Linked DNA regions of Arabidopsis thaliana. The protein of the gene in region 3 interacts with the protein of the main gene of each other region in a pairwise test. Each region holds a gene or a part of one and is shown on either strand. Other genes may lie near its edges. The genes, in order: DRB5, AT2G24030 and RTL2.

Region 1 (7,797 bases), on a different chromosome or scaffold from region 3:
TTTATGTGTTGTTTCCCAATCATTTCTATTTTCAACTTTATTTTTTCCTTTCACAAATTATTTTAAGTTTTAACATTATTTTCTTCAACATACGAAATTTATACAGTAGTTTTTTTTTGCAGGTACATATAAATCAATAGTTGAGAAAAAGTGGAAAACAATAGAGATAAAAAAAATTAGATGTAAATTCGCTGTAAAACAAAATGTTTAAATTTCTTTTCCGTTATCGAATCTCTTTTATGAATAACAAGGTCGAGTACTCAAGGTAAGGAAACAGACCATTAGAAAAGTGCCACGTCAGCTTATTTCGTTCTTCACTTTTAGCTTCTGAAAAGTACTTTACCTGAACTAAAACGACGGTGACAGACTGACTCCAGTAGCTGCTAACAGTCGATTTTTAAAATATTATATTTATTTGCAGGAAAAAAAAAAAGTGAAGGAAGAAGAAGAAGTTGGAGAAGCCAAGAGCAAATCTAATTCTCTGACTACTCTCATTTTCATGTCGGAGACTTGCCGAAATCTAAAGAATTTCTTCAACGGAGACTGAAAAGCTTTCTCTTTTCTTCTTTCGTTATCTTCGTTTTAGTGTTTTCCCCTTTGCTTACATTTGAAGAAATCGAGAGCAAGCGATAGAAAGTGAGAGAGAGAGATGTATGTGGTGACGCCTCCTCAAAGATCCGGTTTTGGATCCGATTGTGATTTACGGGTTTACCAAACATGGAAAGGAAGCAATGTGAGTTTTAATGTGAAAGCTTTAGGTTTTGGAATTACTTGCTTCTGTGTTTATACTTGAGCTAGTTTTCTGTTATTTTTCCTATTATTGTGTATAAATTAATTATTAATCCGTTCATGGGCTCAGTTTACTCTGTTTCCAATCTTGTAAAGCTTAAAAATTGGGACTTGGGTTTGTGTTAGAAGTGTAGCTTTCTGGGTAGTTGTCTACATTTAATCATGAAATCTTTACCTTTAATCAATACCTTAGGACATTATCTGAATATGCTTGCTACATTTATAGGAATGCTTCTTCATACAAAGGTTATATAGTTGATGCTGTCTGTATATTGCTTTCAATGTCGAATTTAAATCTGGTTTAGTAGTAACCTAGTGGAATTAAACATTTTGAGGTTTGTTCCTTAAATCCTTCTACCCAAAGTGTTAACATATTTTCTAAATTTGTCCCATTTCTGCAGATATTTTGTCTTCAAGGAAGGTTTATCTTCGGGCCGGATGTAAGATCACTTGGTCTGACCATAAGTCTTATTGTGGCACCTGTTACAATTTTCTGCATCTTCGTCGCTAGCAAACTAATGGATGACTTCTCTGATAGTTGGGGAGTCTCAATAATCCTTGTTGCTGTTGTCTTCACCATTTATGTGAGTACAAAAGTTTAGCTTTGCATTGTAAAACGTTTTGTGACTGGATCATTCATAACAATTAATGCTTCCCTCAGGATTTGATTTTGCTGATGCTTACATCCGGAAGAGATCCAGGGATTATCCCAAGAAATTCTCATCCTCCAGAACCAGAAGTTGTTGATGGCAACACGGGCTCGGGAACAAGCCAAACTCCAAGATTGCCTCGTGTTAAAGAAGTGGAAGTTAATGGAAAAGTATTCAAGGTCAAGTACTGTGATACTTGCATGCTCTATAGACCGCCTCGCTGCTCACATTGTTCGATTTGCAACAACTGTGTAGAAAGGTTTGACCATCACTGTCCTTGGGTTGGTCAATGTATTGCTCAAGTAAGTTTCTCGGTTTTTCGTTTTCCTGTCCGTTAGTTTCTGACATCAGTCTATATAATTCATCTCATTCTCCTTGGGAATTTGCAGAGAAACTATCGATTCTTCTTCATGTTTGTCTTCTCCACGACTCTTCTCTGTGTATATGTGTTCGCCTTTTGTTGTGTCTACATAAAGAAGATCAAAGAGTCCGAAGATATAAGTATCTTGAAAGCAATGCTCAAAACTCCAGCTTCCATTGCTCTGATACTCTACACATTCATATCTACATTCTTCGTTGGAGGCTTAACATGTTTCCATCTCTATCTCATCAGCACAAATCAGGTACCCTAATCATTTGCCTCTTTCTGAAAAAACCTCTCTCATTCGATATGCGTGTTTAATCGTTTGATCTTTCTTTATTCTGTAGACTACATATGAGAATTTCAGATACAGTTATGATCGGCATAGCAACCCACATAACAAAGGAGTGGTTGATAACTTCAAAGAAATCTTTTTTTCTCCAATACCTCCTTCAAAGAACAACTTCAGGGCTATGGTACCAAGGGAAAATCCAATGCCGTCGAGATCAGTTGTTGGCGGTTTTATGAGTCCAAACATGGGAAAGGCCAATGATGATATTGAAATGGGGAGGAAGGGTGTTTGGGCAATGGCTGAACATGGTGATGGCAAAGATGGCAATAACAATGAACGGTTTCATGTTAACGACAATGAGTTAAACGAGTTATCACCAGACATGGGGAACATAGTGAATGGTGATGAGCAAATCAATAGGCCAAACAATCACCCGAGGAACGCAAACTGGGAAATGTCACCAGAAGTTATGGCCTTATCAGCAAGAAGAGCTTAGAAGCAGGTTAAGAGAAAATTGAAAGGTGTTTTAAATGTTTGATGTATTGATGTGTTGTGTGTTTACACGGGAATCAATTGTGAATTGGTGTGATATTTTCAGATGTTATGAGTATTTTTAGTTGTTCTTCAGACATTTAAATCGTAAATCATTGTGTGTTAGTGTAATCTATGACTTATCTTTCACAGAATGAGAAAACAAAATGAATACCGACGATTTTCATACTGTACTTTGCATATGATAAAAATTGCAGAAACTGAATTTTCAGACAAGTGGACCAGAAGACCAGACAACTCTTATTATAGTCTTCATTGAAGCACGGCTCTGTAATAAATGCAAAAGAGCTCTAAAGGCTTCTTATTTGTTCTTCAAAGCTCTAAAGTCTAAAGGTTAGAGATTTAACATCACAAGCCAACATTTTTGGTTTAGGAAATTGAAGATTAGCAATAATATAAAGTTTTTTTGGCATTGAACAAAGACAAAACACAATGAACATAATCAACAAATTGGTCAAACTAAACATTAATAAGTGCCTCAAAGTATCAGACTAAATCATTTTCACTAACATTTATGAAAAAATAACTGTTATTAACTGAGGACGAAGGTAACTGACCAGTCAAACATCATAGACAAAGACAATAAAGAGAGTCAATAGCATTGTTCATAATTGTTATTTGTATGCACATGTTATAAATTATATAAAAAGACTAACCTTATTTCAATTGAGATGTCACTATTACTGTTTTAGCATCCTCTTCTACTCTTTATTTAGAACCTTTAGTACCTTACCATGTGAGTGAAGAGTTCAAAAACCTCTGCAAAAACTTTCTTTTTTATCTCTCTCTCTTCTTTAAACTTACTTTCAAACACTAAATAGCCAAAACTTAAGATACCAAATTTCAACAGGTCGGCTTTTTCGTTTGTCTTCTCTTAAGACTTTACCAAAAGAGATTTGTGGTTTCTGGAGTTGACTTTGGTTGATTTTGGTGTATTTACAGGGGAAAAAATGTATAAGAATCAGCTTCAAGAGCTTGCACAGAGAAGTTGTTTCAACTTACCATCATATACTTGCATAAGAGAAGGACCAGATCATGCTCCAAGATTCAAAGCTTCTGTTAACTTCAATGGTGAGATATTTGAGAGTCCCACTTACTGTTCTACTCTCAGACAAGCTGAGCATGCAGCTGCTGAAGTTTCCCTTAATGTCCTTTCGTCTAGAGTCCCTTCAAAGTCTCTAACTGCTAAGATTCTTGTAAGTTCTCTGTCTTTTCTTCTTGGTTTTGATCATACACAAAAAAATGCAAAAAGAGTAACATCGTATATCTTCATGTCACTCTTTATACAAGGATGAGACAGGGATTTACAAGAACCTGCTTCAAGAGACAGCACATAGAGCTGGTCTTGATCTACCAATGTACACAAGTGTGAGATCAGGATCTTGTCACTTCCCAGGTTTCTCTTGTACTGTTGAACTTGCTGGGATGACGTTTACAGGAGAATCAGCAAAGACAAAGAAACAAGCTGAGAAAAACGCAGCCATTGCAGCTTGGTCCTCTTTGAAGAAAAGTATATATAACTATCTTCCAAATTGTTCCATCAACCCCAAAAAAGCTTCTCACTTTTCTACTTGAAACCATTTTTCTGTTTCTCTACTGTGCAGTGTCAAGCTTGGATTCACAAGATGAAGAGAAGGAACAAGAAGCAGTAGCAAGAGTACTCTCAAGATTTAAACCCAAAGAAGTAAGAAGACGAGAGACAACAAACCAATGGAGAAGAAGAACAAGTCAACAAGATTCAAACAAGGATTTGTTGATTGAGAGATTGAGATGGATCAATCTTTTGACCAATCAAGCTTCTTCATCATCATCAACATCAACACCGAATCAACACAAAAACTCCAGTTTCATCTCTCTAATTCCCCCACCACCACCACCTAAATCCTCCAAAATTTTGCCATTTATCCAGCAATACAAAGACAGATCATCACAAGAAGCTAAGACAGAGACAGCGACAGAGATGATCAACAGCAAAGCCAAAGTCAATGAAACATCAACCAGATTGAGTAAGCAAATGCCCTTTTCCGACATGAACAGATACAACTTTGTCGGAGGGTGTAGCGTAAACCCTTATAGTCTGGCTCCAGCGGTTCAAATGAGATCAGTGATTCCAGTTTTCGCAGCTCCACCACCGAAACCAAACCCCAACCTTAACCCATCATCATTATCATCATCAGTCAATGAATTCACCTCATCCAATAATTCCTGCTCTGTTCTGAATACGCCGGGATTGGGAGGCCAAGAGAAGAAGAATCTAACTCGCGAAATGATCAAACTTGGTTCAGAATCGAGAATTTTGGATCAAACCCATGATAGTTAGCTAAATTTGGTTAATGGGTTAATCTCAAATTAAATCCTTGTCAAGTGTTTGTCACATAGATAAATTATAGACCAGTATGTTTCCGTTTCTTGAATGTGTTCTTGTTTTTTTTGAAGTGTTTGAATTTTCTAAAAGTCCGACATGAACTTTGAATGCTTGCGAATTGCACAGAGAACGAAAACAAAGAGAGAGCATTAATTAGGGAAGAAGATGAAGAAGAGAAATGGGAGTTTGCAAGAAAACAATTAATGGGTTTTGTTTTGTCTTCCTCCATTAATGCGCCGAATGCTCTGCTCTGCTTCCCACTCTTCATCATTAATGGTTTTGCTCTGTAACGTCGGTTCCAACAAATAAACTTAATAATTCGAAATTATAAATTTCACAAGTTACATTTTTCTTTGTGTAAAGATTTTGGACCATATAAACATTATGGTTTGCGAGAATGACGTTTGTGTCATTATCCGATTTAGATCCGTATAATCTATGTTGTTAGGAACTCAGGATTTTGCTCAAATATTCAAATTGGTATATTTTGACTTTGATGAAATTATTTTGGTCAGACCACGAGACTTGATTGCTTCTCAATTATTTGGGCCGGTCCATTAATTTGGGGCCATCTAACTTTTACGTGGGCCGTAACAAACCGAAACATAAAACTAGTGACCTACCTAACCATATTACCCCAACCGGACAGGAGGTAACGAGTTAACCAGCCACTTGTTCGGCTTGGAAATTTTTTTAATCGTCTGACAATTTATGACGTGGATCCAAGTAGCAAGAAAGCTAACATGTTGTTGGATCTGATCTGATCCACGAACCTACCATAAATCAATTTTCTCATTATCTTGACAGGTATATCTTGCATTATTATACGTCAGATTTTCGTGGATACAATATTTTTAAAATGCAATCCATATTTACTTGATTTCCAAAAATGGGTTTTTTCAAAAGCACAATTTCCAAAAATGGATCACAATTTATTAACGGATTCTCAACTTGCAAATCAAGCTTAAATTATAATCTTTTTTAACTCAGAATTTAATATAATCTTTTTTTACTCAGAATTGATTAAACTAACAGTTATATTGATCTTGAAATCACCTTTAATATCTTGTTTTAAATCTTGTGTCTTGCAAATCACGGTTCATAAATATTGGAGAATCGAATAAATAAATTATTTCTATTCCTATATTGCGTAATTTTATTTTTTGACTCTCTATTGCGTAATTACACTCGTCAGATTTCGTGGATGAGTACTCAGTAAATCTTATTTTAATTAAAAAGCTTACTAGTCTAATTGCTGCAAATTTGACCAACTATACAGTTGTGTTGCATTACAATATTTCAAACCATTAATAAAACGTGTAAAACATATTTGGAGTTGAATGAAACTACATTTTCCTTTATGTCAAACGCACTTTTCAAGATATATCTCGAACAATTTACGTATTATTTTCACAAATTTTGTTCCACAATAATTTAGGTTATTTTGGTTTTTGTTGTTGTTTTTTGAGTCTGAAATTTCAAATTTGTATTTTTTTTTAATATATATTTAGGCAGGAATCTTTAAAATGAAACCAATAATATATTCACTAAGTTTGGAAAAAAACCAAAATTTCATAATTAACGGGACAATGACTAAGCTGTGGAAAAGATAACATAATCTCCCAATGACTCAATGCCACGTATAAGATGAGAACCGTACTCTTCTGTGTTCGTACCAGATCCCTCAAAAGGCGGGAAGAAACCATCAAGAAAGGCACATTGCTGACGTGGAATGGAATATTCGAACACGCATATCCAGCTCCTTCCTCCTTTTTCCTCATATCCCTTTTTTCTCAATATAAATACTCTGCAAAAAAACACCCACAAATCCTCACACAAAAACGTTTTCGAAATCCCTAATCTACTCTCTCTTCTCTATATCTCTACTCTTGAGAAATGGCTCTTAGAACTGTGCTCGTCTCCGACGTCCCTAGCCTCCCGGATTCTGTCTACGGTTTATCCGAAGGTATTTCTCTCTCTGTCTCTCTCTCTCTGTTTCGTCGGCTATTGAGCTGTTTTCGTTTCTGATGATCTTGTCTTTGATTACAGGTTTAGAGTTGAGCAAACCGACGTCGTTTAGGTTACCGGGGTTTTCGGTGATTGGACATAGAGGAATCGGTATGAATGTGTTGCAATCGTCTGATCGGAGAGCGAGAGGTGTTAAAGAAAACTCGATTCTTTCATTCAATTCCGCCGCTAAGTATCCGATTGATTTCATTGAGTTCGATGTTCAGGTTGGTACTCCGATCTATGTAATCAACTTTAGGATTTGAATGAGACAGAGGATTGGGGTTTTATGTTTATGTTTTTGTGTGTGGAAGAAGATTCTGATTTAGATATCTATTTATAGATTCTTAGAAATTGAAATGAAAAATAAGAACATGAAGATTTGAAGAAAGAGAGAGAGATGGCACATAGAGAAGCATTCCAAGCTTTGTGTGGTTTTTCTTTTGTAGGTGACAAAAGATGATTGCCCTGTCATTTTCCATGATGATTTCATCTACTCTGAAGAAAATGTAAGTCTACATTGCTTTCTTCATAGATCTTGGTTTTATATTTCTGGATCTTGTCTTCATGGATCTGGTGTTTGTGTGTTATGGTTCAGGGTATTGTTAATGAGAGTAGAGTGACGGATCTGAGTCTGTCTGAGTTTCTCCTTTATGGACCTCAGAAGGAAACTGAGAAAATAGGGAAGACACTGATGAGGAAATCTAAAGAAGGGAAGGTTTTGAAATGGGACGTTGATTTGGATGATTCTCTTTGTACGTTGCAAGAAGCTTTTGAACAA
Region 2 (7,922 bases), on a different chromosome or scaffold from region 3:
ACACAGTTCTTACATCATCAAGTAAACGTTAGTTAATACTTCACTGATCTATTATGTGCATTGATCTATCTTAAGGCCAAAACAAGCTCTAAACTGACCTTGACAAGCTCGCCTGCACAATAACCATCAAATTCTGCGCTGCGAAATTGGAACAAAACCAACATGCAAAACTCATTACTCATAGAAGAAAACTTCCTCAAATTTTGTATGATAAATGTGCCGGACTTACGCAGCTAACTCTTTTTGAACACGTACAGCTTCCACTTGAACAACCATTTGAGCTTTCTTCACAGTCTCATACATATTCTGCATATTACCAAATATTCCTGCCTAGGAAAGATCACACACAAACTTCATTAGTTCCAAAATCATAAACTTTGAATCTTTACAACATGAAGCCTAACTTAAAATGTTCACCTATTGCAGAATCTGTTTGATATTTGAAAAAACCAATGTAATGTACCAACCTTTGATTGTCCATCTTCACTGTTATTATCTTTGTTTCCACCTCCAAATAATCCATTCACTCGAAGAGACCTGTAACCATTTTTAGACTTGTACTGCTTTGGCCATGTTCTTCTCTGCGAATTCAAGCTCGCATTTCCTGAAACTATTCAAACCAAAAAATTACTAAAGCCCATTTCAATCCCAAAAACACTTATAAATACAAAATTACGCTTCAATTCCTCCAATTATGGAATAGAAAAGTCTAATTACGAAAGATTAAGCAAATTCAGATGAAACCTAATGTACGACAGATACATAAAGACTCAAAATCCAGTGTCACGAAACCTTAAGCGAGAGATAGAAGTAGGGATTTAGGAGAGACTAACCATGAGAGAATGGAAAGAGCATAGATTTGGTGAAATTGGTGGTTGCAGCCATCGACGCCATTGTTGTACGAGTAGAGAGATATTAGAGAAGGGCTTTTTTTCTGAAATTCGAGAAGATAAAACCGGAAGCTAATTTTTTCCGGGCAACTTGTTCGTAGCTTCTGTGTTTGTTGAAGCTTTTAACCAATGATTTTGCGCCACGTCACTTTAACTCTTTTTTTGAGCTTAGATTGTTTTTGTACCATTCTTTTCTAGTGAAGAAGTCGCAACTTTAAAGTTTATACACTTTCAGTACGAAATTGAGTGATCAAACGTAAAATGTTCTTACATCAGATATTGATTCGATTTTCGAAAAATTCAATTTCTAGTATAGATGAAACTTTATCAGAGATTGTAACATGCTTCATTAAACCAAAAAAAAAAAAAAACATGCTACAATAGAACCATCTTTCGTGGTTCTATGTATGGGACATGGTCATATGTGTTGTGGTCTTGTGGAGCTGTATTGCGAGAAGAACTATTGATTGATTGTGGAGTTGTCTATATACCCTCTATGTATAGAGAGACTCACCCCAAACATTTGAAATACCTCTAGGCAAACCATTTTGGGCCTCTCCTGAAAGAAGACATTTATCATCGTATCATGTCCAAACAAACATACTCTGCTTGTACAGTTGTAAGTTTGTAAAACATATGATAAAAGCATAAGACAACACACACTCCAAAATGCAATCATGATCTATACACTTATTCTGGTCTCTCTAATGGCATTGGTTATTATTCTCATGATTCTCAATCTCACAACAAAAAAAACATCATGCAAATCTCCTACTGTCACATTGCATAAGAAAAAATAAAAATAAATTCATGAATTCAATCTCTGATTCCTCATGGTATATTGTCATGACCTAACAAAGGTTTTTTTGGTAAAAAAAGTTGATATAAAATAATCTAACAAAGTTACAAAGAATCTTCTATGACTTCTCCAAGCAATGAACCTTACCTTGTGTATCATCCATTGCTAGAGATACTGATTCTTTCTGTCCTGGATCAGCATTCAGAGATCTCACTGGGACTGTAATGAGTTTATTCTGCTGTTTCTCAAGCAAAGCCATGTGTTTTTTCCCAAGCGTATGATTCCTCATCGTCTGCTCAGAATTCGTCTGAATATTACAAGTTTTGCACCAAACCGTTTCCTTCTTTTTCTTCTCACCTTTTGTCTTCTTTCCCGTTGTTTCTTTCGCCGCAATTTCATCTACTTTTTGACCCTGCGGATTAGCATTTTCACATACTCTAATGGCTTCTGGTTGCGGTGCTGTAACGGAAGCAGGGGATAAGGAGGTTGAAGCAGCTTCAGGTGTCTCATTCTGTTGTGTAACAGCAGCCTTATGCTTTTTACCTAACTCATGATCCCTCATGACTATTTGACAATAGGTCCCAACTTTACAAATCTCACACCAAAACTTCTGGTTAGTTCTTAGCTTACCTTCTGCTTTCTTTCCACTGCCAAGTTTCCCTGAACAAGGAACCTTCGAAGAGACTATTTCTCCGGTTTCCAAAGACATCGCCTTTGCTTCTGATTCTTTTGCTTTCGGCCTTTTCACTTGAAGATCTTCGTTCAAACCAGTTTGAATATCCTCTGCTTTACGCTTTTCTCCTACAGGATCAGCTCTAGCCTGCAATAGTAATCAAAGAGAACACATATGGTCAGGATTTGTTATAAGCAAGTAAGGAAAGTACGTGGATAGAAAAGATGAGATATCACACTCGTAGTAAAACACTTACCAATACAATAAACTGCTCTTTGTTAGACTCCAAAACTGATGTTCCTGTAGCCTCAGGCATTTGCTGAAGTTTAGGCAATTGCATGGTACCAACACTGTCTGCTTTAGGCTTAGCTCCTATAATATCAGCTCTATTCTGCAATAGAGAAATCAAAGAGAACACATATGAAACAAAGGCTTATATATACTCTATCATTTATGTTTACCATTACTTAAAGAACTCACCAATACAATCAAATTCTCTTTATTAGACTCCAACATTGATGTTCCGGTAGCTTCAGACATTTGCTGAAGTTGAGGCAATTGCATCATTGGTGATGTAAGTAGACTGTTGTAAGAGCCTGTGTTGATCAGAGAATCAATGTAACTATACTTCTGTCTGAAAAAGTTGTTGAACTGATTCTGATTTTGATTTGGAAGCTTCCTTTGATTGATCCACATAGTTAGCTTTTCCTCTAGAGACATCTCCGTGTCTGAAACTCGTCGTATCGCCATTTCTCTCTCGATAGCCATCTCTTGTAAAACCTCAGCTATAAGCTCTCGTTTTCTCGCTGCTTCTGCGATAATGATCTCTTGACGGATTTGTTCTTTCTCAATTTCTCGTTTGATCGCTTCCCGAACTTGATCCTCACTTTGTTGTCCTACGAAAAAGGTTCATAATCACTTCACATTTCGACATGAGAAGATTCATAAACTTCAGATTTTTCACACAGATTTCAATTTCGTGAAATCAAAACATGAAAAAACAAACACTCAAAATTTACGTTACAGAAACTAAACAGGTCTCAACAAATCAACTCCTATAGACAATCGCATCACCAAACAAAATACGAAAAGTGCAGAATCATAACAATGTTCTCTGTCGGGGATGGATAAAAAATACGATGCACAGACAGTACAAACCTGGCATTGATCGTTCCGACAAGAAAGGAAAGTTCGGTTTCAGCGACGGAGATGGTGTCGTGTCCGTCGCAGGAGGTGGGCGATTATTATCGATGGCTCTGTATCTGAATTCCATCGAATTCAAAATTTGGAGAGAGAGCGGAGAAAGAGGGTTATCGTTTGTAATCGCTTTTACCTTCTGGTCGGTCACTTTTCTTAAATAACAGGGATAGCTTTTTTTTTTCTGTTTTTTCCCTTTTTTCTTTCACTGTTGTGAATCTTGTGATAATATCAAGAGATTTTTTAAAAACAATATGGAATTTAATCATATGCAATACTTAGCAAATTTGGTTACTAATTTATTAGAGATTTGACCTGTGATAAGATTTAAATATATTTCTATTTTCCTTAAAAACTTGTTTTATTGAAAATTTTAAATTACATTATGTGATCAATCTTTGACGGATTTTTCTATATAAAATTACAAATTTATTAGGGATTTGATTTGTGTAGTGGCGTTTCAAACAAAAATTTAAAATAAATGTATTTTAGATTAAAAAAATTATGTTAAAGGGAGTTTTAATATTTTAAGAGATTACAATTATTACATTATATGCGTGTTCAATTTTTGGCGGATTTCTCTATGTAAAGTTACTAATTTACTAGGGATTTGGTTTATGTGGAACCAAAAACAAGTTTTAAATTTTAGTCAATGTATTGTAGATGGTAATTATGCTAATATTTTTTTTAATCTTTCAAGGGCTTTAATCAAATTCAAAAACTTTGTTCAATCTTTATCTTTTTGTAACTTTGTAGAGGTTTGACCCGCATTATTCAAATTCAAACAGATTCTTAAAACAAAATCTTACAAAAATTCTATACTTTGAAACATTCAACCAAATTTTAAAATCGTGTTCAACTTTCGATTTGTCTATATAAGATTACTAACTTACTAGGGATTTGACTTGTGAAGTGAGAATTTCAAACGATTTTTAAAATTTAGGTTAATGTATTTTAGGTGGTTGAACAATTATCTTTAATTTATGGAGATGATTTTCTGCCTACCAATATATCACCGATTAAAATTCTCACATATGATTACTATTAAGCTAAGCGGCAAAATCATTGGCGTCCCGAAAAAAGTAGTATTCTCTCTGTTTCATAAGTTTGGTATTGTAGGTTTTTTACACAAATTAAAAAAGGTATTTTTTATACTTTTTGATTATTATTTTGTCTTGTTTAATAATATTAATTCTATTTCTCTGTTTTCTCTATTAATCACAGCTAAAAGTAATAATAATGTTATACAAACCATCAATTTTTTGTGAAAAAAAACCTACAACATCAAACTTCATGCAACAGAAGAAATATATAATAAGTTCTAGCGATTAGTTCAAGCCGCTTAACTCGCATCATAACAATGACATATTTTCATTTTAAACTCAGTTAATAATGATTGGAGTGTCCTATATTCTTTAAAAAGTGTAGTATGTCTTTTCATATTCGAACAACTAGGGTGTTATTCGTTTTATTATTTGAATGGTGCATCTCGATTATGCATCCAAATATTGTAATCTAGAGGATGCTTCCGGCTGTTGTTTGTTTATATATTTGGTTCTTCATATGGATTCCCTATCTTGATGTAACTTTGTTTGTTTTTCTTTTGTATTTGTTAATTTACATTCACATCGATGTATTTAATATCAAAATGACTAAATTGTGCATGTGTTAAATTTAATGATATCTTAATAATCTTAACTGTATTTACAACTAAAAAAATTTCAAATTTTTCTTGGCACAATTATAATCCAAGATAATGCAATGTAGCTCATCTAGTAATATCATTTATCAGCTGGAATGAGATTAAATAATGAAAGAGTATGGTAAGTGAAGCCATACCAAAGCTCCCGTGAGTCAACCAATAAACAGACGTCATACGTCAATACCCAAAAAGATATCAACAACGAACCGTAGGATATAATAAATCCCGCAAAATAAACGGTTAAAGATCTCGCGGTACACTCTGTATCTTAATTATTAAGATTCACGTCGCTGGACACAACACCTACTATATTTGTGGTTGTTTGTTTCGTGAAGCTTCTCTCTTCTTCTCTTTTTCAAGTCATCAAATCTGATCTAATCTCCGTAAATTAATGGCGAGTAGTTGCGAGCTTTGCTGCGAGATCTTCATCGCAATTCTTCTTCCTCCTGTCGGAGTTTGTCTCAGGCATGGCTGTTGCACTGTAAGTTTCATCTCTCTCTATCGATCTCTGAACTTTCACAGCTTCTTATTTCAGAAATCGAAACCGTAGTTGAAATTGAATTGATTACGGTTATTTAAATTGAAATTGGTTGCACTCCGGTTTACGGGAACCAATCAATATGATGAATGTGGAGATCAATTACTGAAAATATAATTGTGGTGTTTTTGTTAAAAAGAAACACTAATTAAGGGACTAAAAAATAAAATTTTTAAATTTTGTTTTTCCTAACTCATGTTTTTTTGGTTTAACTTGTAGGTTGAGTTCTTCATTTGTTTGATACTGACTTGCTTAGGCTACTTACCAGGAATAATATACGCAATTTACGCAATTTGTTTCTTGCACCGCGATGAGTATTTTGATGAATACAGACGCCCAATCTACTATGTTGCTTGACCTCTTGATTGATTCTTGCTCTTGAGCACACATATTGTACTTTAAAGTGTAATTTACTTGTATCCTGGAGATAATAATACCATTTTTTTTTAAGACACAGGTATTGTGGTTTATTTTACTATATACTTTGATGAATGATGAATGCATAATGCCCAATTACTATTTGCCTATGGAGCCCTCATATTAAAGGTCAGTATCTATCGCGCTATGATACAGCTAAAGAAATTAGCTCAGCAGTCACTGAAGTGGAAGAGGAAAAAGAAAACACTGTTTTTTCTCTGAACAGTGAAGAAGACAAAGACACTTGGTGAAGAAACAGAGACTGACAGTGATTCTGAATTCAAGATGACTAAGACGACAATACCAAAAACAGGAAGAAAAGTTTAAAACCATTGTTAGCTATTGCATCACTTGAAGACTTCACACTTCTTTTCTCTTCTTTCCTGTTTTGCTTTGCTAAGTTGTTTCCAGGAAAGAAGAAAGAAGAAGTTGTGGAGTCTTTTGATGAAGATAGTGACAGTGATTACTATATTTACCCTAGTCCATTCGATATTGAAGAGAATTCCAACAGTGAGGAATACAATCAAATCTTCATTGTTATATGTTACCCTAGTCCTAATACATACTATATTTATATAATGGTAGTACCATACTTACCATTACCCTGAGTGAGTTTCAACGATGATTGAAATTGAATTAAGGCATCCCACAATTAATTAGATTATTAATGTCAAAGACAAAAATTGTGTAGGCACTAAGAATAAGATAACAATCAACAAATTGTGTTTTTTTTTCTCCTCACCCTGAAATGTTCAAAACTCAAGATGAACGAAAAAAACAAAGATGTAACAAAACTGAACCAAATCTTCCAAGTATGTGATATTAACTCAAAACTTATATAAGAAAAATGATTCAGACTACTCCTCAAGTAAACATTTTAAGACTTTGCCGGCCAAACCAATTTACTTTTAGAGCAAACTCTGGCATGCCTCAACTTCAACCGCCTGCGAATCCAATACAGACTGTCCCGATGGACACTCGCGAACACTCTTTATCACTGCATTGAGTACGGTTTTTCTGAACCACTCATCTTCCATCTTCTTCAGAACATCTCTCACCAGCTCGAAATCCAAGACTTTAGCTGAGACCAACTCCCCTAAGAACTCTCCGAAGCTGTTTGGTGCTTTTGGCAGATCGATTCCAATGTCATCCAACATGGAACCGTAGAGCAAACAACCTGCCCCTAAGTCTTTAGATGTCAGCACATTCTTAGAGATCAGATGTTTCAAGAGTTTGGCAATTGGTTCAACCAATGGTGGGTTTTTCTCTAGACCGAGCGAGATTGTTTCCTTGACGAGCTCCGGGTGGTAAGATGGAGATTTTAGTTCCTCAACGCATTGCAATGCCTCATCCACTAAACGAATACTGAAATACTCTTCAAGAAGCGACTTGGTTTTTCTCTCGAGCTCTCCTGCGTTCAGGCTATTAGCCAGAGGAGCTGCCTGTGGCTGTGGCTGAGGTTGAGACCGTGGTTGCGGCTTCTCAACAGTTGGAATGGGTTTAGAGGCTTGAGGAGCTGAGCTAGAACCGTTACCTTGCAAAAGAGGGCTTGGCCTACCACCACCATTGAGGAGACCTCCGCTACCCTGAGGAAGAAGCCTTGAGTTGACTGAGAGTGACTTGTTGATAGCAGGAGGTGGCTGAAAACGCGGCTGCTGCACTGTTTGTCTATTGCCTCTGGGCATGGACCGGGTCCGTGCCATTTC
Region 3 (7,700 bases):
TCATCCAGTAGCTTAGATATATTGTTTACCTAGTTAAAAAAAGTCCAAGGTAAACGGTGTATAAATGAGCTTAAGCAGAAGGATGATGTGCTAGTGAATCATCCAAAGGTGCATCTCTGAAAAGGTCATCATATGAAACAGGTACCCTGATCCTCTCATGAACAGATTTCCTTTCCTTTTCCGGTTTGGATTCAGTTTGCTCAGCTACCGGCATAACACACATCTCGCTCACCAGAGCTTCATCAGCAGATACATTTCCAGAGGCAAGTCCTTCGGAGGAGCTACCCTGATCTCTTTTAGGCCCTGATTTTGGTCTCGTGTTTGGTTGCCTAAATTGTTTCTGCAAAGTTTGAAAGCGTAAGACAAAGAGCAAGAGAGAAAGAGGTGTAAGATAGAAAACAGTGATATAACATCTTCATGACTGCTATTTCACATTTAAGCTAAGAAAGCAGGATATATTTACGAATGTTGTGATATGATAGGCAAGTACAAACCTCAAACTCCTTGGTCTTTTTCATTATCTCTCTATAAGCTTCAGGCTGTCTCGCTTTGATGATGTTCCACAATACACCACCACTTGTCCGTTTCCTAGTGCCATCAGCAGTCACCTGACCTCCACAGGTCTCAATTGCTACCACCTAAGAAAAAATATTTCTTGCCATCATCAATCATATCTTTGGCAAGAATCTTGCGAAGTGGAATAGAAATATTCTTAACCAACTTAAAAGCATACAGTGGGAGTAACAGAAGGATCAATCCACAAAGCAGTAGTGAATATGTGGACAGTCATTTCTCGATCATGAAAATAAGGTTGACACTGTTGGTCTCACTCAAACCACTTATGGTCTCGATCATGAAAATATGGTTGACACTGTTGATCATAAAAACTTCATCTATCCACTTATGGTTTCATACAAATTGTCTAGATCAATAAAAACAGAGAAAAGACAGATGTGCACAAGAGAAGGGAAAAAAAAATCAACCTAAAATATGAAGTTTTACCATCTACATCTCAGCAAAAGGCACAAGCAGCAAAAAAGGCTCCACTAGGAATATCTTGAACTGCAGGTGAAACAATACAGCTAAACAAGATTGCCACTGCTGGTCACACACAGATCAAACAAGGTTTTAACTGGAATAACACAGAAAACATCTTGAAGTAGTGTATACCTCATTGACAAGATCACTTAAGGCAGCAATTCCGAGACACCCAACAGCTGTGTATATCATGTAAGACTTCTTCTCCTTAAGGCGTCTACAAGTATCCCTAACAAACCTGCCATAACAAAACATCAAACAATGAGCAACGTTTCAACCATAGCCAAGATCAGGCAGCTATACCAAGAATTTACACAACAATATTAGCATATAGAAAAAGAACACTTACCAGTCTACACTCATGGGTTTGTCCATCACAGGGCCTTTTCTCTTTTTCTTCTTCTTCTTCCTCTTGTTCTTGTTTGTCTGTTGCAGTCCATTCTTCTCACCCAAAATCGCCTCTTTATCTTTGACTCCATCACCATCATCATTTTGCCTCTCTCCAGAATCTAAATCATGATCCACAACAATCTCCCCTTCTTCAACATCAACCATTTCAACATCCTCCAAGTTTTCAAATCCGTCTTCTTCATTTATAGCATCCAACAAACTCTCTTCTCCCTCCATGAGATCAAAAACCTAAAATCCCAACCAAAAACCAAACACAACTTCAAAATGTAACACATAACAAAACAACACTCGCACAAAAATCCCAATCCATTCAAACAAAAACTTCGAAACCATTTACATTTACAACGATAATCTCACAAGAACATCCAATAACACGATTTCAAAAACATGAATCTCTCAAAAAATTGCTCAATACAAAGTAGATCAATTAGAATCGCGAAATAAACAAAATAAGAAGCTAACCTTGGGACTTCCTTTGCTCTTCGATCACCCACACTCGAGATTATCAACAAAACACACACTTCATCGTCATCGACCCAATACTGAGCAAGAAAAATCTCAGCTTTAGGGTTTAGGCAATTTTTGCCCTTTAAGAAAAAAGCTTAATCCATTTCCTTTATATAAAAGTTTTTAATTATATTTTGCCCCAATATAATAAATTATATATATATACTTTCCTTATTTGTCCTGAGGACTATAGTCAATGAAAAAGTCAAAACTAATAGAATTAGGAAAACAAAAAGAATTAAAAGGAAAATTGAAACAGAGAAGACTTGGCGTCTCTTTAGATTCTCTCTACCATGGATCACTCTATCTCACCGGAGTACAATTTCCCGGCCATCACTCGCTGTAGTTTATCCAATTCACTTCCTCACCGTCCACCATCACCACTGCCGTCTTCGGCCGATATCCACCGCTTCTACAATTCTCTTTCCCCATCAGCACCAAGCGTTCCGGTTTCGTCGGAGATGGAGTCTATGGAAGCAGTAGAGAAGATACTCAACTACAAATTCAGTAACAAGAGTCTTCTCAAGGAAGCGATTACACACACCTCGTGTACAGACTTTCCTTCTTACGAGCGGCTAGAGTTCATAGGCGATAGTGCTATTGGTTTAGCAATCTCAAATTACCTATACCTAACGTACCCTAGCCTTGAGCCACACGACTTGTCTCTGTTGAGAGCAGCTAATGTTAGTACTGAGAAACTCGCTCGTGTCTCTCTTAATCATGGTCTCTATTCATTTCTTCGACGCAATGCTCCTTCTTTAGATGAAAAGGTAATCCATAAAACTTGTCTTTGCATTGAAGAACCCTGGAAACAGAGTGATTCTTTATGTGAAACAGAGTGATTCTTGTGATATCTTCACCACCAAGTTGTGTGTGTTGATGTCGTTTGATAGGTTAAAGAGTTCTCAGAGGCGGTGGGGAAAGAAGATGATTTGTCAGTGTCATATGGTGGATTAGTCAAAGCCCCTAAAGTTCTAGCTGATCTTTTTGAGTCTTTAGCTGGAGCTGTGTATGTTGATGTCAACTTTGATCTACAAAGACTATGGGTGGTCTGTGTCTACTTCTTCTTTAGATCTACTCTTGTGTGTTTTGTCTTTGTTACTGAAAGTTAAGGGCTTCTTTCTTATTGTCGATTTTGCAGATCTTTAGGGGTCTTTTGGAACCGATAGTTACATTGGACGATTTGCAGAAGCAACCTCAACCTGTGTCTATGCTTTTTAAATTATGTCATAAACATAAGAAGCGAATCGACATCAAGAATTGGAAAGATGGTAATGTCAGTATTGCTGTTATATATCTTGATGATGAGCTTTTGGCTTCAGGCCGAGCTGAGAATAAAGATATCGCAAGGCTGATCGCTGCTAAAGAAGCGTTACGGAAGTTGTCAGAAGTTTTTCCCGTTGAAATGGTTATTGATGAAGATAGTGTAGAGATTCAACTTACACATGCTAAAACGAAGTTGAACGAGATTTGCTTAAAGAAAAAGTGGCCTAAGCCTATCTACAGGTATATCCTACTCCTACATCTTGGAAGCATTCACATACTTGAGTAGTCTAAAGTCTTATAATCTCAAGAAGCAGAACACATTTGATAAGCCATTGTTTAAAAACATTTTGTTATTGTTTTTCACATTTTTTCAGCGTTGAGGAAGATAGAAGCTCGGTACAGGGAAAGAGATTTGTTTGCTCTGCTAAGATTAAGATAACAGAAGAAAAAACATTATATATGAAGGGAGATGAACAGTCCAAGATAAAGAAAGCAGAAAGCTCCTCGGCGTATCACATGATTAGAGCCTTGAGAAAATCTCATTATCTCTAATGGTCTTGTATCATTTGTAAAATTAAAAATTGTATTTACCCTTGAACCAAAAACACCCTCTAATGAATCACTTTCGAATTTTATGTTTTTCTTTGAACCTACTAGCCTGGGGTTAATTAGTCTCTTGTACCCCCACTACGGAGAATTTGTAGGCGAACCAAGCCATTTGCCAAAGATACTTGCGCCTCCGGAATATGTTAAAATATAGGAAAGCTCTGCTTTAGCAGTTGTTTCGTTGATTTGACATTTGATGGAATGGAGAATCACATTAAAAGTGGAGGAACTGAGGTAAAATGTTAACACAGTCAGGATCAAAATCTTAACGGTAAAAATGAAACCTCTCTTTCTCTCATATCACAACAGCCTGAGTACAGAACACAAAGGACAAAACAGAAGAAGTGAAGAACAAAATACAAAACACAAGCAATCAGAGTTTTGAGTATCTTCCTCTTTACGTGGTTTTTGTCTGAACAAACATTAATTCAGCTCCTGATTTTTCTGGATTAGATACAAACAAAAAGACTTTTAATCCAGCAACAATGTCCACTAGAACAGCCGAGGTTGTTGTTGTTGTGGATTTCCACTTCTCATCATTGCGCAGAACTCTTCATAGTTGATTCTACCATCCTGCAAGAGAGGCAAACCGTTATGGACAGAGTTCAGTTTCCTTATAAGAAGAAGAAGAAGAAGATAAAGAGAGGAGATGAATTATTTTAACTTACGTTATCGGAGTCGACATCTGACAAAACCTCTTTGATTGTTGCATCATCTCCCATTCCATATTCCTTCAATGCAGATTCCAGTTCGTCTATTGTAATGTATCTGTGTACACATTTTGATCCCAAGAAAAGGCTCACCATCTTGCTTATATATATACCGGTTAAGAATGAATAACATCGAGAAGAAACAGGTCACTTACCCGCTGCTGTCTTTGTCAAAATGCTGGAAAGCTTTGTAAAGATTCTCATTACTTTCAAGCCTGTGCCTATGCATTGTTGCTGTAATAAACTCTATGTAGTCGATGGACCCGTTCCCATCAACATCAGCCTAATCACAAACCCGAGAATCTGAGTTCTTAAAGTAAAGGAACGGAATGGGGGAAAATATAGTTTTTGACCAACTTACAGCATCCATGAGCTGTTTCACTTCTGCCTCTGTGAGTTTAGATCCCAATTTGGCTAATCCTTCTTTCAGTTCTTCATAAGTGATTGTGCCACTGTTGTCAGTGTCTATGTTAGCAAACATTGCCTTCAATCCTTGGATTTCTTCCGTGTCAATATTCTCCGCTATGACCTGTTAGAATCTCATCATGAGTATAACGAAAAAGAGGACCACAACCACAGAATCACATTGCATATGTGAAAAATCTTGACTTCACCTTTAAAGCAAGTTTCTTTAGCTTATTCATTGCTCTAAATTGTTTCATCCTTGAGAGAACAGCACTGTCAATTGGCTTGTCTGATGCTTCTCCACCTTCTCTAAGCCATGGATGCTCTGCACAAAACAGTAGAGCAAATCTCAGAATCAAGAAGGAACCGATAATGGAATCTTCCAGAACTTTGCATTGTGTTGTGGCTCCGTAAAATGTCTTCAAAAGGTACTTACGAAGAACATCAGCAGCAGAAATCCGCCTTTTTGGATCCGCAGTCAACATTCTACGTACCAAATCTTTGGCACTGCTGGAGATTGACGGCCATGGTTGGCTCTCAAAGTCGATATGGCCTTCCAATATAGCATCAAATATTCCTTTCTCAGTCTCTGCATATCCAATGTTCTGTTTTCAGCTTTTTATTCACAACATATAAATCTCAAAAGGGAAAGGAACAAAGAAGAGAGAATATCGCGTTACCAGCCCAAAACGGGGGCACACCGCTGAGTAGAATGTATAAGATGATTCCAGCACTCCAGATATCAACTTCTTTCCCATATCTGCGACGTAAGACTTCTGGAGCAACATAGTATGCACTCCCAACAATATCTCTATATACTTTTCCTGCAAAGACAAGAAGAAGAAACACCAAATGATGAAGAGTAAGAAACATCAAACTCTATCAGAGAACAAAAACAGCGGTCTCTAGCCTAGTCCGTATATCAAGAAAGGTCTGAACTTCTTCATGCAATTCACGGAACCAAGAGACACAAGATACCAATATAACCAGAACCTTGATACGTATCCTATCTATGTCCTAGAGACAACCAACTTCATCAAAATGTACTAAACCCTAAAGAAAAGTCTGATTATTTTACCCTCTTCAATAAAGACAGACAATCCGAAATCAGTAGCCTTGATCAAAGCCTTCTCATCTTTGCTAGAGAGCAAGAAATTCTCAGGCTTCAAGTCTCTATGCAACACACCCATGAAATGACAAATCTTGACAACATTCACAATCTGTCTACAAACAGAAGCAGCAGCTCTCTCAGTGTAATGTCCCTTAGCAATGATTCTATCAAACAATTCACCACCAGCACAAAGCTCCATCACCAAATTCACAGCTTTCTCATCCTCATAAGCTCCTTTAAACTCCACAATATTAGGCTGCCCACTCAAATGCTGCATTATCTGAATCTCTCTCCTCATATCATCCTTATCAGCTTTAGTCACCAGCTTCTTCTTCGAGATCGATTTGCAAGCGTACTTCTTCCCCGTGGAATTCTCTGTGCACAGATACGTTACCCCAAATTGACCACGACCTAGCTCTTTACCCAATGTGTAAAAGAGCTTCACGTCTTCGAAAGCGTTCTCTAGTATTGAATTGCTCTTAGTGGTGGTCTTGGGACTTAGTCCTGGTGCTGCAGCCGCCGCCCTCCACGGTGGTGGTTGACTATTCACGGAACCTGGTTTCTCCGGCTGCTGAGTGGTTCTCGCTTGTGGAGTATACGACGGTGGATCTTGGTTGGTTACTCCTACTTCAACTGATCTAGTGGTATTACCATTTTGCTGTGGCTTCATCAATCCATGGTTCTTGGCAAAACAATTTCCCATGATTTTAAAAAGCTCAAATTCCGACGACCCAGAGAGGAAAGATCGGAACTTTAGCTAAGCTAGCTCAAATTCCGATGACCCGGAGAGAAAGATCGTAACTTTTTTTTGTTGAAGATGATCAAAAGAAGAAACAAGAGAGAAAATTGAAAGTCAGGATCTTTTTTTAAAATTGTTGAGGGATTATAATAATATAAAGACGTGGAAGCATCACCTCATTAGATAATATACCTTAATTGCATCAAGCTAAATAATGTTAGCCAGATGGATTTGATTAAGAAAGGAAACAAATGATTATATAAAATCAAAGAGTTGAAAAATTGCAGAAATGTAACATGAGAAGCATGAAATGATGAATAATTATAAGAGGACGGCTCTATCTAGGTAAAATGTTGAAAAGTACGACTAATATCAAAAGGAAACCGAGTCAAACTCATACTTCCATTGAATTATTCCTGGTCAGATAAGAACGATGAGAATGATTTGTTTTATCTGAAAAAATATATGTAACATGTTGAGGTTTGAGTAGCTGACAAGAACAAGAAAATTGATGTTTTGATTTGGGACTTTTGCTTATAGTAATGGACTCGAAGTTGAAGGTAGTTTGAAGCAGTGTTTTGTTTTGTGTAGTGTGTGTGACATCATTGACTTGTCGTCGACATATTTACACACAAGCTACACGACAGTTAACAAAAACTATTTCAAAAATGCATAAGCTGTTAGCATGTATCTATTCTTTTTTAATCATCAACATTCAAAAGTTTTTAGGCTTTCAGTTTCTTAGCTTGCTTCTCCTTCTCTTCTCTTCTCTTCTCCTAGGCCTGGCTACGTACCTCCACTCTACATGACTTCGATAGTATGAAAGATCTCAACAAATCTTAAGACTAAGTTTCATTTGAAGATTTTAATACTAACCAAATAATTTTTTTGATTATTCATCTTAACT

Evidence for each region.
Region 1: the proteins of RTL2 (region 3) and DRB5 interact in a two-hybrid assay, tested with the Arabidopsis thaliana proteins (one large-scale study listed by BioGRID).
Region 2: the proteins of RTL2 (region 3) and AT2G24030 interact in a two-hybrid assay, tested with the Arabidopsis thaliana proteins (one large-scale study listed by BioGRID).

What each region holds. Positions count from the first base shown.
Region 1 is NC_003076.8:16,434,953-16,442,749, forward strand, and holds DRB5 (dsRNA-binding protein 5), read left to right. Parts: upstream 1-3,312; 5' UTR 3,313-3,494; intron 3,495-3,586; 5' UTR 3,587-3,594; coding exon 3,595-3,840; intron 3,841-3,934; coding exon 3,935-4,154; intron 4,155-4,248; coding exon 4,249-4,964; 3' UTR 4,965-5,103; downstream 5,104-7,797. Other genes in the region: AT5G41060 (DHHC-type zinc finger family protein), read left to right, coding at 650-733, 1,191-1,373, 1,451-1,741, 1,829-2,062, 2,148-2,588; AT5G41071 (uncharacterized protein), read left to right, coding at 5,117-5,299; GDPD2 (PLC-like phosphodiesterases superfamily protein), read left to right, coding at 6,906-6,975, 7,059-7,243, 7,466-7,525, 7,615-7,797. UniProt on the Arabidopsis thaliana protein: Binds double-stranded RNA. May be involved in RNA-mediated silencing.
Region 2 is NC_003071.7:10,218,376-10,226,297, forward strand, and holds AT2G24030 (zinc ion binding / nucleic acid binding protein), read right to left. Parts: upstream 3,690-7,922; 5' UTR 3,636-3,689; coding exon 3,521-3,635; exon of another isoform or gene 3,259-3,520; coding exon 2,843-3,258; intron 2,754-2,842; coding exon 2,619-2,753; intron 2,510-2,618; coding exon 1,808-2,509; 3' UTR 1,686-1,807; downstream 1-1,685. Other genes in the region: AT2G24020 (Putative BCR, YbaB family COG0718), read right to left, coding at 99-138, 230-330, 468-610, 834-894; AT2G24040 (Low temperature and salt responsive protein family), read left to right, coding at 5,653-5,742, 6,019-6,156; eIFiso4G2 (MIF4G domain-containing protein / MA3 domain-containing protein), read right to left, coding at 7,125-7,922.
Region 3 is NC_003074.8:7,115,445-7,123,144, reverse strand, and holds RTL2 (RNAse THREE-like protein 2), read left to right. Parts: upstream 1-2,121; 5' UTR 2,122-2,249; coding exon 2,250-2,726; intron 2,727-2,849; coding exon 2,850-3,005; intron 3,006-3,097; coding exon 3,098-3,462; intron 3,463-3,596; coding exon 3,597-3,774; 3' UTR 3,775-3,954; downstream 3,955-7,700. Other genes in the region: AT3G20430 (phosphorylated adapter RNA export-like protein), read right to left, coding at 71-340, 495-638, 1,171-1,276, 1,388-1,665; CPK9 (calmodulin-domain protein kinase 9), read right to left, coding at 4,321-4,401, 4,497-4,596, 4,694-4,821, 4,900-5,067, 5,153-5,268, 5,380-5,532, 5,624-5,767, 6,022-6,757. UniProt on the Arabidopsis thaliana protein: Ribonuclease that cleaves double-stranded RNA (dsRNA). Required for 3'-external transcribed spacer (ETS) cleavage of the pre-rRNA precursors.